4 linked regions of the Cricetulus griseus genome follow. The protein of the gene in region 1 interacts with the protein of each later gene in a pairwise test. Links are inferred from orthologs where the notes say so. Each region holds a gene or a part of one and is shown in the gene's direction. Other genes may lie near its edges. The genes, in order: Spry2, Zdhhc17, Ubash3a and Hsd3b7.

Region 1 (4,009 bases):
GAGTCGAGCAAAAACAATGCCCAAAAAAGTCTTCAAAAGGCCTCCATCTATAGATAATCCCTCTTAAAAATGAAATTCTAACAAACTACACGTCCACACAATCAAAAGCCAATCCCAGCCAGAGCAGAAGGGACTTGAAACCCGAATCTGCATTCCGTTCCTGCCGTACAAGGCTCGGAGGTGGGGGAGGCGGTTTGTGCTGGTGCCCGGTGTATAATCGGGTTAATCCAGTAGACAAAGAATAAACCAATAGCCCTCCCACCTCACTTCCCGCTCCCCTTTCCCTCCCTCTCCCGCTCCCCCCACCCTCTTCGCCCCCCTGGGCATTGGAGGGGGTGGGGCGGGCGAAGGAGGCGAAGAGGTAGATCCGAAATGGATTCCCGAATCGAATCTTTTAAAAAGCCGCAAGTGGCTTTTCACGCTCGCACCGTGCGGCCGGGTTAGTTTTTGCAACGTCCCCTCTGGTCTCCGGGCGGCGAGGGAGAAAGTTCCCTAAGTGAGCCTGGCCTCCGGCTGGTGCTCGTGGCCTCCGGGGGTGGGCGAGCGAGCGAGCGGGCGGGGCGGGGGGGGGGGGAGCCTTAAGGTCAGTGTTTCCTTGAAACTAGATAAACTGACCTCGCGGTGGCCGCAGCGGCCCCGCGTGACGGCGCCCGGGCTGCAGGAGCGACTGGGGACGCGCGGGGCGGCGCGGTTGCCCTTTTGAATGCCTCCTGCGGCTCGGAGCGCTGGCGGGCGCTGGAGTGTGAGTGAATGTAGCCCCGCCGAGCCAATGAGCTGGGACCGGATGCGATATATCCTCTGGGACAACAACTGCTCTGTTCCGCCTCGGATCCACATGACGCCATTTACTGCTGCCGCGGCCGCTGCAGAGCTCCCTGCCTCCTCCGGAAAGGCGAGGGCGCAGGCCAGCGGCTCGCCCCCCCAGGCCCCAGCCCCAGCCCCAGCCCGGCCCGGCCCCGGCCCCGGCCCGGCCGGGCCCAGACCCTCCTCCCCCACCATCTCCTCCCCTGCGCACCCCGCCCCCGCCTCGGCCTCGCCGCCGCGCCTCCGCAACGCCCAGTCTGCACGAGCCAGAGCTGCGCGCCGCAGTGCGAGCGGAGGGGGCCGGCGGAGCGCGCAGCGCCCAGGCCCCGCGCGCGCCCGCCCGGCCCGGCCCGCGGCCCCGCGCCAGCCTCCGCTCCGAAGCAGCCCCGGGCCCCCAGGACTGGGCGAGCTGGCCTTAGGTTCTTTGTAAGGCCGTGTTCGCCTCTCTTTCTCTCATCGGCCAGGAAAAAAGAGACTTCGCCAACCACGGCGCTTCGGCTTCTTGTTCATTGAGAAAAAAAAAAAAAAGAAAGAAAAAAAAGAGGAAATACTCCGTGCGCTTCTGGAAGGGAGGTCATCTCTCTCTCTCTCTCTAGCCCGGAATCCGAGAGGGTTCCAACGGTGGAGGATTGGGTTCCAAATTTTCCCCTGGTTGTTTTTCTCCTGCCACCGATTACTTGGAAGTTGGACTGAAGCAGAGTTCGGAAAGAAGGAAAAAGTTTGCATCGGGACTGGATTTACTTTGCACATCGCAGAAAGAAGAGAGTCCAAGGGAGAGGGGTTGGTGCAAAGCCGCGATCACGGTGAGGAGCGTTTGGCTTTTTCCCTGCTGGAACCACAGTCCGCCGCGAGTGGGGTACGGGTTCCTCTTTCCCCTAAACCCGTAGGCTTCCAGGGAGGATCGGGAGCTGCCCCGCGGATCTGCTTCGCCTAGGACAGGGGTTCAGTCACCGCCGGGCTGCAGGGTGCGCCGGTGCAGTGTCCCCACTCCGCGACACCGCGCTCCCTAAGGGCTTTGGGGAGGAGGACCGCTCCACTGCGTTCTGCTCCTACCCTGCTTTGGAGGCGGTTTAGTCGCCGAGATCCCTGCTTTTCCTGATCGCTGTTGCAGGCTCGTTTACGCTGCTAACCTGTTCCTCCTTTCGGTGGAAGGCCAAGTTCTGGGGAAGCCGATCCTGCGGCGGGGGGCGCCTGTGGGGCTGGGGTACTGGGCTTCTCATCTCACCACCGCACCGGAGCAGAAGACTCGGCGGACAAGCCGAGGGTAGGCTGCCAGGCGGAGGGAGTCCCCGCCTCTGCCCGGTGTGGACAGTCTAGCCCGGTGCGGGTGGGAGCGTCGCCCAGCCTGGCGCCGCGTCTCTGCGGTTCGGAAGTGCGGCTTTCTCTTTTTTCCGTTCTTCGTGGTCGGCCTGGGTCATGCTTTTTTTTTCTTTTTTCTTTTTCTTTTTTTGATGCTTGGGCTGACCTAGCACAGGAAGAGAGTTATTAAGTGGTCGCGATCGTTTTCCATTACCTGAAAGTAGGTGGCAAAAAAAACTAGTTTCCCCCCTCCCTCTTTTGTGTTACTGTTTTTGAGATTTGGAGTCTTAACGCCTTTTTTACAAAGGGGTTTCTGTGTCGGTTTGCCCCACCCTAGTGCTGAAGTCCTTTCCCCCTAATCCTTAGTCTGATCACACACTGTTCTTAATGGGGGTTTCAAAGCACTCAGAGGGGGAGGGAGAGGAACTGCGAGAGCGCAGGGGGTGGAGGCGGCCCGCGAAGGAGGCCGCCAGGGATCGGCAGAAATCACTTTTTTTTTTTTTCTTCCAAAAGATGCTACTTTTCACGGGCAGTCTTCACGGGAAGTTCCCGATCTCAGGGGTCGGAGGCCTGCACGCCTGGCGTGTCCAGTGGGGCTCTAGATAAAGCTTTTTCTTTTTTTTTTTTTTCGTTTTAAGAAATAAATCTTTTTTCTTGGTCTAAAAGGAGGTAGGCGTGTGCAGATTGCAGGCGGTGCTCTCTTCGGTCATTGCACGCTGGCTGGAGTCTCTCTGGGAGCGTGGGTACATAGACTTCTGTGCAAGCTGTGCGTCCCGACCCGGCTCTCTTCCTCGGGGCGTCGGATTTGGGAACTTGTGGGGACAAGCGTTTTGAGGGCCTTCGCAGAAACACCTTGTGGTGACCTTGCTGCGGGGGTGGGCGTGTTGGAGTGGCACCCCCTCTTGGGGCTGGGTGGCAGTTCTCTTGGGTTGGGGGAAATTTTAGCTGAGGGGGTGCGGAGGAGGGGGAAGTGTGCTCGTGCATTTCACGACACGTCCCCTTCGGAGGCGCCCGCGCCCCCTGCCTGCCTGAGCTTCAGGGGATTGCTCGCAGGAGGGGCCGGGCTGGCCCTAGACAGCGTCAGTCCGCCTGGAGGAGAAAAGTCCCCGGGGTTCTGGCTGAGTCCCACCTGCTGCGGACTGTGTGGGGGCGCAGATAGAGCCGATAAACCCAGTGAAAGCAAAGAACAGCCTTGTGTACCTTGCTGTTGGAGGTGAGCAGATCCGGTTTCCAGCTCTGTCTAGTTCTGAATTAGGAGGCGTTTGTCACCTGCCTTGTTCGCTGCCCTTTTCCAAAAAGCCAAGGTTGGATTAAAAGTCCGCTTTTGCTTATTTTCTTTGGTATTTTTATGAGGGCCTGGGAGAGGGGTGGTACTTTTTAAACCGAAGAATGACTGTAATTTAAGCGATCCCTTGACGAAATGATAGGTTTCAACCGTGACACTTAGGATTTTTAAAACCTTTCCTATTGCTGTTACTTGCTTTTGTGTTTCTGGGTATTTTTCAAAACGAGAAGATAACATCATTTTTGCATGCTTTATTAAACAGGGAGAATGACTTGGGATTGAGGATATAAGGCTAGACTCATAGGTCTGTGGAATATTTAATTCTCGAGTAGTGGAAAATACGTTTTGGTCTTACGAGTTTGTTTTCACGTGATAGCTGATGGGAATCGAAATGACTTCAATTCTGTAACTTTGTACCACTGTACTTACTTAAAAATGCAGCCTTAATTGTTCTCAGAATGTACTTTTATATCATATGGGACTGGCAAAAGATACTGATTACACAACTCTCGGTGCTGACTTAAACCGAAGCTGTTGTAGGCATTTGTTGGTGTTTAGTGTAAAAAGGATCCTGACAAATTTAAACCTGTTACAAAATCTGGAAGGTATTTAACCTCTGAA
Region 2 (4,182 bases), on another chromosome or scaffold:
AAAAAAAAAAAAAAAAAAAAAAAAGCAAAAAGCGTCAGGGTAAGGAGATGCGGCCGGAATATTCCAATCAAAGGATTCTGTCCTTGTTGACTGGGGGAAAGATTGGCGCTGTAAACGGAGAACTCGAAATTCTGTTTAGGTTTGCATGATTCCTGGTTTCTGCCGGGACTAGAAGAATGAAAATCGGTCCGTGAAGGAAGGAAAAGCCGTGCTGAGAGGACACTCATGGGTACTGCCTCTTTCCTCTCACCAGAAGCAGCTATAAAACCGCATAGTCATCCTTTTCTGAGAGATTACTGCTCTTTTACCAACGAATATAAGTCTGCTTTGTCATGTGCATTTGTTACTGGGAGCGCCCAGTCATTAAATTGTCCTGGGCTCAGGATCGCATCCAATGCCTTGCTATTCCCGGTTTTTCCTCACCTCCTCAGAATCGAGGTCCAATCCAGAACCGATCCCAGCTCTCCCTAGACCCTCCTCGGATTCTTTTGGCGGGAAGCTAAACCTTACAAAGGGGGAATGGGGGGAGTCCTCCTCCATCTCTATTCTTTATTCCTCTACCGTGCCTTCCTCCCGTTTTACAAACAAATCTGGTTTTATTCGATTGCAGGATTCGATTCCTGGTGAACTGATTTGCCTTTAACTGGTTACTATCAGGATCTCCAATCGGTCGGGTTTCTTAATCGCTCTCTGCTGAATGTGCCCTGGAGCGGTAGAGATTCACAATCCCTCGTAGCCCAAACCAGAAACAAATCCAATCTAGAATCCTTCCACCAGCCCCCCTCCCAGCCCTAATATCCTCTTAAAGATGGCTTTAGTCATTTTTATCTAGGTCACACTCCGGTGCTTTCACATCTGAATTCCTAGGTTATATTAAAATGTAGCAGATGGGGGGGGGGGATGAGTGGGGCTTTGACCTTGTAAAACAATGATTTAGAAAGGCACTAGCTCAATGCCAAAGAGGGCAAGACGGGATCACATAACAAAAAGCTTTCCCAAGAAGCCAGGTTTTGTCCTTGTTCCTTCGGGTGTCCCCGAGGCACAGGTAGAGATTAGAGAGGCAAACGCCCGAGGCCCCCCGAGCTTCCCTGGGAGGGGTCCCGGCCCTGCACTGCCCAGCTCTGGGACCAGGTCCTTCCTCTAGCCGCCTTTCCCGGGTGACCCGAGCGGACCAGCATCGGTCTGCGACCGGGACCCGCCCCCGGATCGCGACGCCCACGCCCAGCGCTGTCCGTTGTCCCGGCGCAGTGCAGCAGAGCTCTCACACTCCCGCCCCGGCCCGGACCGCGCACGCGCGTCGGGACCCGCGCCCGCCGCGGAGGGAGGGGCTGAGGGGGCGTCCCGGGGGCTTTGGGCGAGGGGGAGGAGGAGGAAAAGGAGGAGGAGGCGGCGGCCGCGTCGCCCTCGTCGGGGCTCGCGCTCGCCCTCCGCCTTTGCCGAGCCCCGCGAGGCTGAAACGCTTTCTCCCGGCATGCAGCGGGAGGAGGGATTTAACACCAAGATGGCGGACGGCCCGGATGAGTACGATACCGAAACGGGCTGCGTGCCCCTTCTTCACCCCGAGGTGAGGGGCCGCGACGAGCGCCTGGTCCCGGGCCCTGGGTCCCGCCGTCCTCGCTCCCTCAGGCTGGCCAAGGGCGGAGGCCGAAGGCGTCCGCGAGGGGGTCCGCGCGGAACCCGGGGAGGGAGGCTGGAGGAGGGAGTCCAGGCCCGAGCGCGGTGGCGAGCGGATAACGGGGGAGGAGATAGCGGGGCGGGCCCGGCCGGGGCGGGCTCTGGGACGCCGTCCCTGGCGGTGCCTGGAGGACAGAGGTGGAGATGTGGATGGGTCTGCTAGGTCGCCGCGCTGCCGGCGGGTGCAGAGGCGACGGGGGGGCCTGCTGACACTTTGGAACCTGCGCTGAAGCCCCTGGTCTCGCTCCAAGCCTTCCCAGGGCGAGCAGCGAGCGGATGTGCTTTGCATTGCTCTCCTCGTTCGTGGTGGGTGGGTGGGTGACACTGCCTTCCCCATCACTTCACTCCTGGTGGGGTCAATTGTAGTTTCTTGGGCAAAGTGATGTCCTTCCAGGATAAGTCAGAGCAACCAACTCGCCGCTCAGGACGTCGGGTTCGGTGGTTTTGAGTGTTTGCCCTTAAGCCATTAAAATTAAAACAAAAACAAAGAGCGGTCAGAATTTTCGGGATAACCCCCCCCCCCCGGTCCACACACACTGGTCACACACACACACACACACACACACACACAGGTACGTTAGCTTGTCAGAGTACAGCTGTTTCAGGACCCGGGTCTGTGTCGGGGAGGATGGATAGACAGTGCAACACGTTTCCCATCGTTTCTTTTGTATCTTCTTATCCAAGCGAATATCGGCCACGTTCTGTAGCTGTTTACCTCCCCGTTTGTGGCCGATTTGTGTTTAGCAAAGACCTCGAAGCAAATGTGTATTCATTCGGTTTTAACGGTGCACGGTGAGATGCGGGGAAGGGAGGAAAGAGGAGCGCTTCTCCCTGTAGAATTCAGGTCGTGTCTTGAGGTTGAATATTGTGCACAGATCTGTGGTGTTCACTGCCGGGCCAACAAAGGTGGTTACTTGGCTTGAAATTGATTTTCTTTCTGGATTTTTGTATCTTGAGAAAACTGTGAATAACAAGGACCACTTTCTCATATGTTCACTCTCCGTCATCAGTCATCATCTCATTCATAACTTCATTACACCCAAAACTAGACAGCTTCTTAGAAATACGTGCCCGGAGAAGTCTCATTAAAAAAAAGTTACTTTGGGCTTCTGACAGAACTATGCAGTAAGAATAAATTTTTTTTTTTAAATGAAGTGGTAGGGGCTGGAGAGATGGCTCAGTGGTTGAGAGCACTGGCTGCTCTTCCAGAGGTCCTGCATTCAATTCCCAGAAACCACATGGTTGCTCACACCTGTCTTAACTCCGGTTCTGGGGGATCTGACACCCCTCACACAGACATACATGCAGGCAAAACACCAGTGCACATGAAGTAAAATAAACAAATCATTAAAAAATGGAAGTGGTAACAATCTTAGAATTGGCATTAGAGACATTTCGTTTGGTTTACACTTAAGCCCTAAAAATATGTCCAGAAAGTTTTGAGACATTTTGCAATTGTGGTTAAGGAATATTTCTATTCATCTGTTCCTGTGTGTATGTTTCAAGCACTTAAAGTGCCCTAAGTATTTTAGGACAGTTGGTGAAGGTGGAGGGAGGGTGATTAGGAATTCAGAACTAGCCCAAACAGTATAAGGAGTTGGAGGCCAGCTTGGGCTAAATGATACCCTGTCTCCAAAAACCAGACCAAACTGTAAACAAAACAAAAAGGTGTTGCTTTGTAAAAGTGTGTTGTTTGTTACTCTAAACATAATTTTGCAGGGTGTGGTAGTGCACGCCCAGTATTTGGGAGGCAGAGTCAGGAATATCTCTGAGTAAGATATGGTCTACATAGCAAGTTCCAGGCTATCCAGGATTACATAGTGAGACTATCTCAGAAACTTTTTGGTTTTTCGAGGCAGGATTTGTCTGTGTAACAGTCTTGACTGCCCTTGCTTTGTAGACCAGGCTGGTCTTGAATTCACCGAGATCTGCCTGCCTCCCCATGTACTGGGGTTACAGGCATGCACCACCACAGCCTGGCAAACTTTTTTTTTTTTTTAACTTGCTAATAAGTTTAGAGATTGCTTGATATGATAGAGAGCTTGAAGTTTAGGTGTCATCAGTCTATTATTTAATAGATGGTATATTACTAGAAAGTCAACTTCCCTCTTGTTCAGAGTTGAAATTGGTATGATATATGTTCCTTTTACCCTGTAAGCACAAGGTCTAGTAGTTTAAATTCTCGAACTCTGGGGACTGACTGAAGTCGTCATTTTTTTCTGTGGTTAGTTTCTTGCACCTGCTGTGGACTTGGTATTACTCTGCTCCTTAGAGTGTGTTAGGGGCAGAACAGGGGTCTGTTACTTCTCTGAGTGTGTGAAATTGGGATGATGATGAAGATGATAACTACACTTTACTAATGGCTCGTTAAGGAGGTTACATGAGATAATGGAGAACACAGGCTTTGGGGCCAGAGTGATTGGGATTACAATTCTGCTGCTTCTGTTTTATCTTTTCCTTCTCCTCTTTCTCCTTCTCTCCCTCTTTCAGACAACCCTGATTCTATCT
Region 3 (4,193 bases), on another chromosome or scaffold:
GGAAGGAAGGAAGGAAGGAAGAAGGCAGGCAGGCAGGAAGGAAGGAAGGAAGGAAGGAAGGAAGGAAGGAAGGAAGGAAGAAGGAAGGCAGGCAGAAAGGAAGAAGGAAAGAAAGGAAAAGTGTGTCATGACATAGCATGTGTTACAGTGTTCTAGTAGCATGAGACTTGAAATTAAAGTAGATCTGTAGGGGAGGGGCACCCACAAGAAGAGGCAAGGTGGGGCAGGTCCTCTAGGGAATGGAAAGTTCTGGAACGGGGTCTCTTTTTTTTTTTTTTTTTTTTAGTTCAAGTTAGGGAACAAGCTTGTTTCACATGTAAGTCCCTTCTCCCTCTCCCTTTCCTCACCCCCATCCCTCCTCCCCCCACCCAACCTACCCCCCACCCCATCCACCCACCACTCCCCAGGCAGGGTAGGGCCCTCAACAGGGGCTCTGCAAAGTCCACCAAATCTTCCTGTGCTGGGCCTGGGCCCTTCCCCATGTGTCCAGGGCCAGAGTGTATCCCTTCACATGGGATGGGCTCTCAAAGTCCCTTCTTACACCAGGGAAAAATACTAATCCACTACCAGAGGCTTCCTGGGGTGCAGAGTACTCCTTATTGACATCCATGGAATGGGGTCTCTTAACCTGCGTCGCTCACACGAGACAAGCTCACCCTTTGCTGTAGACTGTCCTGGGTGCTGTGCAGCTGATGACAGCTGTGGTTGACATCCTCTAGTTGCCACATGTCCCACCCCTCCCAGATTTTTGACAACCACAAATGTCTCCAGACACTGTCAACTGTCCCTTTAGAGAGGGGTGTAAAACTAAAATGCCCTAGGTTTTACACCCTTGTTTCATCAGTCCTGGGTCAGAGAATGTGCTCACTGTATGGAAATTCCTCATGCTGCACACATACCACTGGACTTTAAAAGTTCTTGGGGAAAAAAAAAGGTCAATAAAAACTAAAAAAGACTAGGTTTTCTAGATTTTAGAGCAAGCAGGGACCATGCAAAGAGTGAATTTCAGTGTCTTGAATGCAGACTAAGGAGGCTAAGGTCCAGGGTGGATGCCAGCAGAACCCTCGAGAGAAGCCTGCTCCCTCAGCCTTCTCAGGTGTTCCTCCTCTTCAAGCTCCCCAAGTACCCAGCAAACCCCAGTGATGAGCTTCAGGGCAGTCCCTCTCCCCCCCCCCCCCCATGGAAGCAGGTGGATTTAGAAGACGCTGCTGTGGACGCACAAGGAGAATTCAAGCCCAATCATTGTGCAAACAGGATATTCGCTTGTGTCAGAAAGATCAAAAAAGCCTTGAGGTTTTTCTTCACAGCCTCAGCCTGCCTCCTTCTCTGCTCTCACTTTATCTGTGCCTTGCAGTGAGCAGGCAGGCTCCTCTTGCCCGGCAAGCAGGAAGACATGGCTGCGGGGGAGACCCAGCTCTATGCCAAGGTCTCCAACAAGCTCAAGGGCCGCAACACCTCCTTGCTCCTGGACCCCCTCCTGACCATGGGTTTCCCCGCACATATCGCGTGAGTACTTGCAGCTGCCAGGGCCCTACAGCCCGGCTTCCCTGCCTGGTTAGACCCCTCTGCTCCACCTGCCACCCCCTGGATAAGCAAGTGTTGCTGACTTCCTGCTAAAGCGGTCACACTAGTGTGAGATGGTGTCTCCAAAGAGGCCCCTTCCTCCTGTTTATACATGGAATGGTCTTGACCTTTGAAAGATCATCTCTTCTACCTGACTGATAGAGTTGAAACATAGAAGCCATGTGGGTCTCTGGAGGCCCACTTGTGGGGTTTGGAGGAGAGTGAGGGCAGATGCCAATTCTCCTGCCAATCAGTGACACCAAAAGTGACAGACAGTTCAAGGTATGTGACTCTGATATTTGAGTCTCCACGGATAGGACCCCCTGAGAGAACTACCATCCGAGTTTCTAAGCAGCCCAGGGAAAGCCATTTGTCTCTAGGGAAAGTTTCTGGAATGTTCAGGTGACAAGAGAATGAGTGAGAAATTCCAGAGACAGTGGGGCTCAGCACCACTTGGCTCATCCAAGTCCCCAGGCTCAGAGGGCACAGATGCTGCTGACCGTGGTCCCATCATCCATTGCAAACCCGCTTCTTAGCTGTAGTCCTTATTCCCAGAAAGACATAAGTAAGAAGTATGCTTCAGGGAGCCCAGGCCTGGTGGGGGCTGGGGGAGTGAGCCAAACGCTCCTTCGATGAGATAAAAAAGACTCTGGCCACTGTGGAGGACAGGGTATTGAAGCTAGTCCAGTCTGCTCCCAATATCAGGGCTTTGTTGTCACTAAATGGGGAACAGAACCCAGACCATCAGGAAGCCATCAGTGATATGTTCACCATCCCTCTGCAGATGAGAACATCAAGGCCTAAACAATAGTCTGTGGCAAGCCTAGGTCAGGAGCCAGCTCCCCATGCCTCCCCGACCCACTCTGTTTTACTGCTCAAGCTGGTGGGCTCCCCTTCAAAATCCCCGCTAGCTCAAACAATAAACACCTGTGGGTCTAAAGCTCTTACTTGGGCAGGGCTCAGAGTAGGGCTCATGGCATGGCCTCATTGTCATGGCCTCTCCGGGTGGCTACAGCCCCACTGCTCTTCACACAAATGGGTGTAGTACTGGGCAGCACTACTCGGGGTTCCAATGGGGACTGCTGTATCAGCTAATGATGGCTGGGTGTGTGGCCCACTCTGCTCTGTTTGGCCCAGCTCAGCCAAATACAAGTCAACGTATTTACATCCCAGGTCCCTGAATGAATAAAACACATGGAGCCATGAGGAAAGCACCAATGAGCATTTGAGAGTGGGGGACACAGGAGAGGGATGTGGACCAGTCTGCCCAGTGGTTGGGTAAGGGACGCTTCCTGCTGAGCAACTGGGGTGGGGTTTCATGTGTCTGGGAAGCATGTGCCAGGAGTGCAGCCTGTCCCAGCTGACCTCAGCAGTCACACGTGCATAGGATTGGCTTTGTTAGGGTAGCAGGGTGCGGAGAGAGGAAAGCAAGAGAGGACAGAAGTCAGGTCTTGAGTTCTAGGACTCCGGGGCCCAGGAAGAAGAGGTCATAGGAGGGGAGTGAGTGGGGGTGAGGGTTGGAGCATGAATCTCTGTGTGAAGGATGGAGATGTTGGCATAAGGGTACCTGCTGGGATGTCCCGCAGCTTGGCCCTGTTAGGACACAGCATGGATGAGTAGCTTCCTCACTCCTACAACTCACCCCTTCCAAGGAAAAACCAACTGGGCCTTGACCATCCTGTGTTCATGACCCGCAGGCTCAAAGCGCTAGCAGCGACAGGGAGGAAGACAGCGGAGGAGGCTGCAGACTGGTAAGTGGGATGGGAGCTGCAGGCCTAAGGGGGCTGGGGTGACACCACCTGGACTCTATTCCCTGGGTGGGTCCTCTGGGGGGAACCGGGTGTCTGTGGAAGTGAAGTAGAATGGCATCCATTTCCACCCAGCCCAGGAAAGTAATAAAACTCTCCTTAAGACATTAAGAGAGAATCTAGAGATTTTCTCACTTAAAAGCCAGATTTAGGACTCTAGACAGATCCTGCCCAGCATGGGTTCCACCCCTGGTGCATAAACATTCATGCATTAGTGAGAGCACACACACACACACACACACACACACACACACACACACACACACACACACACACCAAAACAAAACTGACTTAATCCAAATTTGACTCATAAAAGAGGTTCTTGTTTATGATCTATGTTAAACAAGTAGGAAGGTGTCGTTTTTGTTGATATGAAATTCACCATACTCTCAGGTCACTGAAGATGGAAGAGAATTTAAAGACGGTTGGGAATCCCCAAGGTATCTCAGGATACACCCGGAAGGGGTGTAGGGAAAGATGACGCTCCTGAACTCCCACTCCAGCCACCTGTCTGTCACCCTCAGCCTCCTGGGGTGGGAGGGGGTCCTTGTTCTTAGGAGCTCCTCCCCACCCAACTGGGAAGTCCCTCCTGCTCTTATCTGAAGTAGCCACCATGGAAATCAAACAGCAAAAGGCAGATCCTGGGCTTGGCTGTGACTCCTTGCTGTGGAGGGCTTGCAGTTCGAGTATGCATGGGGACCTGGGTTCTGTGTTAGTTTCCTTTCCTGTAGCTGAGATCAGATGCCTGATAAAAGCCACTTAAAGAAGGAAGGGTCTATCTGGGAGTGTTTGGGTGTGCACTCCATCATGGCGGGAAAGCCA
Region 4 (4,233 bases), on another chromosome or scaffold:
CGGCAACCTGGCCAGGTTCATCAACCACTGCTGCACGGTGCGCTCAGGGCTGGGCCAGGGCTGGGCGGGGCAGGGGTGAGGGGGGCTGCGGCTTACACTGCCCCTCCTGCAGCCCAACTGCTACGCTAAGGTGATCACCATCGAGTCTCAGAAGAAGATTGTGATCTACTCCAAGCAGCCCATTGGCGTGGATGAGGAGATCACCTACGACTACAAGTTCCCACTCGAGGACAACAAGATCCCGTGTCTGTGTGGCACTGAAAGCTGCCGTGGCTCCCTCAACTGAGGTGGGGCAGGACTGGTGCCCTCACCCCTATTTATTCCCCCTTGGTGCCCTAAGCTCCCAGCACCCCCAGCCTTAGTGGGCTCAGCAGGGCCCACATGTCCCCATCTCCACATGTGGGATAGGGGCCCTGAGCCCAGCAAGGGAGCCTCAGTCCTTTGAGGTAACTTTTGACTCCCCTGTACCCCACGCCCAACCACCCTCTTATTTTTTTTTTTTTTTCTTTGCGGAGAAGAAGCTGTAAATGTTTTGTAGCTGCCAGCAGCTGTTTCCTGTGGAAACCTGGGGTACCAGCCTGTATAGATGCTATTCTTGGGGGCTAAATAGCCCCCTCTGCTTCATGTTAGTGGGGACTTCCCCCTTCAGCTCTATGTGCACCCCTCCCCAGTTTAGGGGTCTCTGGGGCAGTGGCCATGTTCTCCCCCTGGGGGGGCCTTTGGCCCCTAGTCCTGGGAACTCTGTGCCTGGAACCCTGCCTCATCTGTTCCTGCCAGACCCTGTGGGTCACCCTCCCACCCTGGTGTCTCAGGGCTCTGGCTCAGTGGGCCAGGATGGTGGTGGGCAGGCCCTTCTTGTTGGGCTGGATTGTACATAATGTTAATAGTGAAAACCCAACGCCACATTTTTATAATTGTGATTAAACTTTATTGTACAAAAATGCTTGGTCACTATCTTTGGGAAGAGCAGGCTGGGATGCAAGTTGACATAGTGGGTGAATCAAGAGAAGGGGGAAATGGGTGGCTTGAAGTTTGGGGTGAATAGGCCTACAGACACAGCAGTACTGCTGTGGGCAAACCACCTAACGGACAGCAACAACCATGCCAGTGTCTCCCCATGGACGCTAGCCAGAGCTGTACCAAGATCAGGGTTCCCTCCTCTCTCCCCAGAGCCACAGCTAGTGCTGGGCCTCCAGCCTACTGGGGAACCCAGCAGGAGGGACAAACCAAGGTCACCCTGTTTCCACCCCATTATCCCCAACTACATCATTACCAAGTGGGCAGGTTCTGTCCTCTGCCTGCCACAGAGTGAACTGGCCACCAGGGGGCACTCTAGCAAAAATTCCCTTCTCCAAACTTCCTTGCCCGCCCCTAGGGGTGGAGGCTAGGCTGGTCTCCTTCCTGGAATGGGCCAGGAGGGAGGAGCAAGCGGAAGGAAGGAAGCCTGTGTGCAGCTAGCTGGCCCACCAGTCCAGGACACAACCTCTCCCAGTGGCCAGTTTGGACTCCCTGGGACTAGCCACAGGTAGGCAGATGATACTGCGCTCCAGGTGGCCCCTCTCTTAGTCTCAGCTCTTCCTGCCTCTCTATACCCTTTCTATCCAGCTCTGCTGTTTTCCACCTTTAGTATCCCCAGTCATTTTTTCCATCCACCTCAGTCCCTAACCCTTTCTGCATCCAATCCTAGTGACTCAGCGGTTAGGGTCAAGAGGGCAGGCAGCCTGATTGCTACAAGCACACAACTGCAACCCACAGCTAGAACTCGGCCTCTTTCATATCGTTGCCCCACCTACTAGATCTCTTCTAGGAATAACACAGTTGGAGCAGGTGGTATCAGGCAATTCCAGTGAGGGAAATTCTCTTCCCACAGCTGGGCATGGCAGAATCTGCACAGGTGCCAACACTGGTATACCTAGTCACAGGTGGCTGTGGCTTCCTGGGGGAGCATATTGTTCGAATGCTGCTGGAACGGGAGCCCAGGCTCCGGGAGCTGCGTGTCTTTGACCTGCACCTGAGTCCCTGGCTAGAGGAGCTGCAAACAGGTGACTGAGGTCGGGCAGGAGCATGAGGAGGGGGTGTTGCTCCATCCCTCCCTGAACTGGGATGCTTGCACTTGTGGAAAAGATGATCCTGTGTCTGTTTTCCAGCTCACACAGCTGGGATGGGTGAGTCACTGGGAGCACGTGGCCCCTGGGGGCATGCAGGCTGAACTCAGCTGCAGGCCGAACTCAGCTGCAGGTCAAGGCCCCAGCTCTGACACTGCCTGGGGCCTCTCCACCAGGGCCTGTGCAGGTGACTGCCATCCAAGGGGATGTGACTCAAGCCCACCAGGTGACAGCTGCCGTGGCGGGATCTCACGTGGTCATCCACACAGCTGGGCTGGTGGATGTGTTTGGGAAGGCCAGTCCAAAGACCATCCACCAAGTGAACGTGCAGGGTGAGGCGCTACCTTCCTGTTCTTTTGTGTGACACCGGTCGTCCCTTAATCTGTGGCCATCCTGTGAGTTTCCTGTCTGAGCCTGTCCTGCTGATAACCCAACCCCATCACTGCTGTCCCATCCTCTCCTGACTTGTGGTTCTCCTTAGACACTGGGTGGAGCAGAAAAAGAGGCCGAGTCAGGAAGACACAGCTTGCATTTGTCCCCTTCACAGGCACACAGAATGTGATTGAGGCTTGTATACGGACTGGAACTCAGTTCCTGATCTACACAAGCAGCATGGAAGTTGTGGGGCCTAATGTCAAGGGCCACCCCTTCTACAGGTAAGCTTAGCCCCACTTAATTTCAGAGTCCACTTCCTTCCAGCACTGAGTCTTTTTTCTCCCCGCCTAGGGGCAATGAAGACACCCCATATGAGGCAGTCCACAGGCACCCCTATCCTTGCAGCAAAGCGCTTGCTGAGCAGCTGGTCCTGGAGGCCAATGGGAGGAAGGTATACTGCAAAGACAGGGCTTGGGGTGCTGAAGACTGACCCCCAGGTTTCTTTGACTCCATCTCCACTGCATGGTGGCCAGGGTAGAGGGGTACACTCCAACATTTTCCCTTTGTTATCAGGTCAACGGAGGGCTACCCCTAGTGACATGTGCCCTTCGACCCACGGGCATCTATGGTGAAGGTCATCAGATCATGAGAGACTTCTACAACCAGGGCCTACGTTTTGGGGGTCGGCTGTTTCGGGCCATCCCAGCTTCTGTGGAGCACGGTCGGGTGTATGTTGGTAAGGACAGGGCAAGGGCAAGGGGGGACGGAGAGCAGGGCAAGAGGTCTGTCTCTCAAGGTGGCAGAGTCATGAGTGTCGCCCTGGCTCCGTGAGGGCCCAGGCAGACAGTGATCATGTGGGCATTTTCTGCATGGGTGCAAAAGAGAAAGTATCCTTGTCAGTTGGGAGGGCTGACATAAAAAATATGTCATAGGTTATGCTGAGCCTGACAGTTCTCCAAAGAAAGAGAAGGGCAGCGTCTGTACAGGACATCCAGGAAGGCTGCTGGCTACCTTGTCCAGACAGTAGTGAGGTTTGGGTGGCATCTACATGGGGCCAAATAGGGGACTGGACCAAGGGCCCTCAGTGGCATATCTACCTCCCTCCCTACTGGTAGGCAATGTGGCTTGGATGCACGTGCTGGTGGCCCGAGAGCTGGAGCAGCGGGCGGCACTCATGGGGGGCCAGGTGTACTTCTGCTATGACAAATCACCTTATAAGAGCTATGAGGACTTCAACATGGAGTTTCTGGGTCCCTGTGGACTTCGACTGATAGGCACCCACCCACTGCTGCCCTACTGGCTGCTGGTGCTGCTGGCTACCCTCAATGCCCTGCTGCAGTGGCTGCTCCGCCCACTGGTGCTGTACACACCCCTGCTGAATCCCTACACTCTGGCCATGGCCAACACCACCTTTACTGTCAGTACCAACAAGGCACAGCGCCATTTTGGCTACAAGCCCCTCTTCTCATGGGAAGAGAGCAAGGCCCGCACTATTCTCTGGGTGCAGACCTTGGAGGGTTCAGCCCGGTGATGGCAGGGCCAGGGACTGGAGGCCACTGTGGTACATACTCAGGTCCTGAGCCTTCAGAGCCTGGAGGAAGAGACATGGCTGCCCTCTGACGTGGGAGCTGTGGTGTCTGACTGGGCGGTATGGACCCTGCCATTTTACCTACACAGATCTGAGCCTGGCTGGTATTCCAGCCTCCAAGTTCTAGGACAGGGTTTGGGAACAGGCCTGTCTTTGGTCCCAACT

Evidence for each region.
Region 2: the proteins of Spry2 (region 1) and Zdhhc17 interact in binary tests that used the Homo sapiens proteins (3 or more experiments, as listed by UniProt). The link is inferred for Cricetulus griseus from reciprocal best matches to the Homo sapiens genes SPRY2 and ZDHHC17.
Region 3: the proteins of Spry2 (region 1) and Ubash3a interact in binary tests that used the Homo sapiens proteins (3 or more experiments, as listed by UniProt). The two-hybrid records come from large-scale screens. The link is inferred for Cricetulus griseus from reciprocal best matches to the Homo sapiens genes SPRY2 and UBASH3A.
Region 4: the proteins of Spry2 (region 1) and Hsd3b7 interact in binary tests that used the Homo sapiens proteins (3 or more experiments, as listed by UniProt). The two-hybrid records come from large-scale screens. The link is inferred for Cricetulus griseus from reciprocal best matches to the Homo sapiens genes SPRY2 and HSD3B7.

What each region holds. Positions count from the first base shown.
Region 1 is NW_023276807.1:257,384,619-257,388,627, reverse strand, and holds the start of Spry2 (protein sprouty homolog 2), read left to right. Parts: upstream 1-1,184; 5' UTR 1,185-1,607; intron 1,608-4,009.
Region 2 is NW_023276806.1:144,512,823-144,517,004, forward strand, and holds the start of Zdhhc17 (palmitoyltransferase ZDHHC17), read left to right. Parts: upstream 1-1,364; 5' UTR 1,365-1,471; coding exon 1,472-1,564; intron 1,565-4,182. UniProt on the Homo sapiens protein: Palmitoyltransferase that catalyzes the addition of palmitate onto various protein substrates and is involved in a variety of cellular processes.
Region 3 is NW_023276806.1:259,573,544-259,577,736, forward strand, and holds the start of Ubash3a (ubiquitin-associated and SH3 domain-containing protein A), read left to right. Parts: upstream 1-1,393; coding exon 1,394-1,506; intron 1,507-3,260; coding exon 3,261-3,314; intron 3,315-4,193. UniProt on the Homo sapiens protein: Interferes with CBL-mediated down-regulation and degradation of receptor-type tyrosine kinases. Promotes accumulation of activated target receptors, such as T-cell receptors, EGFR and PDGFRB, on the cell surface.
Region 4 is NC_048596.1:72,969,145-72,973,377, reverse strand, and holds the start of Hsd3b7 (3 beta-hydroxysteroid dehydrogenase type 7), read left to right. Parts: upstream 1-1,377; 5' UTR 1,378-1,525; intron 1,526-1,870; 5' UTR 1,871-1,876; coding exon 1,877-2,042; intron 2,043-2,281; coding exon 2,282-2,437; intron 2,438-2,652; coding exon 2,653-2,761; intron 2,762-2,831; coding exon 2,832-2,931; intron 2,932-3,053; coding exon 3,054-3,216; intron 3,217-3,595; coding exon 3,596-4,011; 3' UTR 4,012-4,233. Other genes in the region: histone-lysine N-methyltransferase SETD1A, read left to right, coding at 1-37, 113-286. UniProt on the Homo sapiens protein: The 3-beta-HSD enzymatic system plays a crucial role in the biosynthesis of all classes of hormonal steroids. HSD VII is active against four 7-alpha-hydroxylated sterols. Does not metabolize several different C(19/21) steroids as substrates.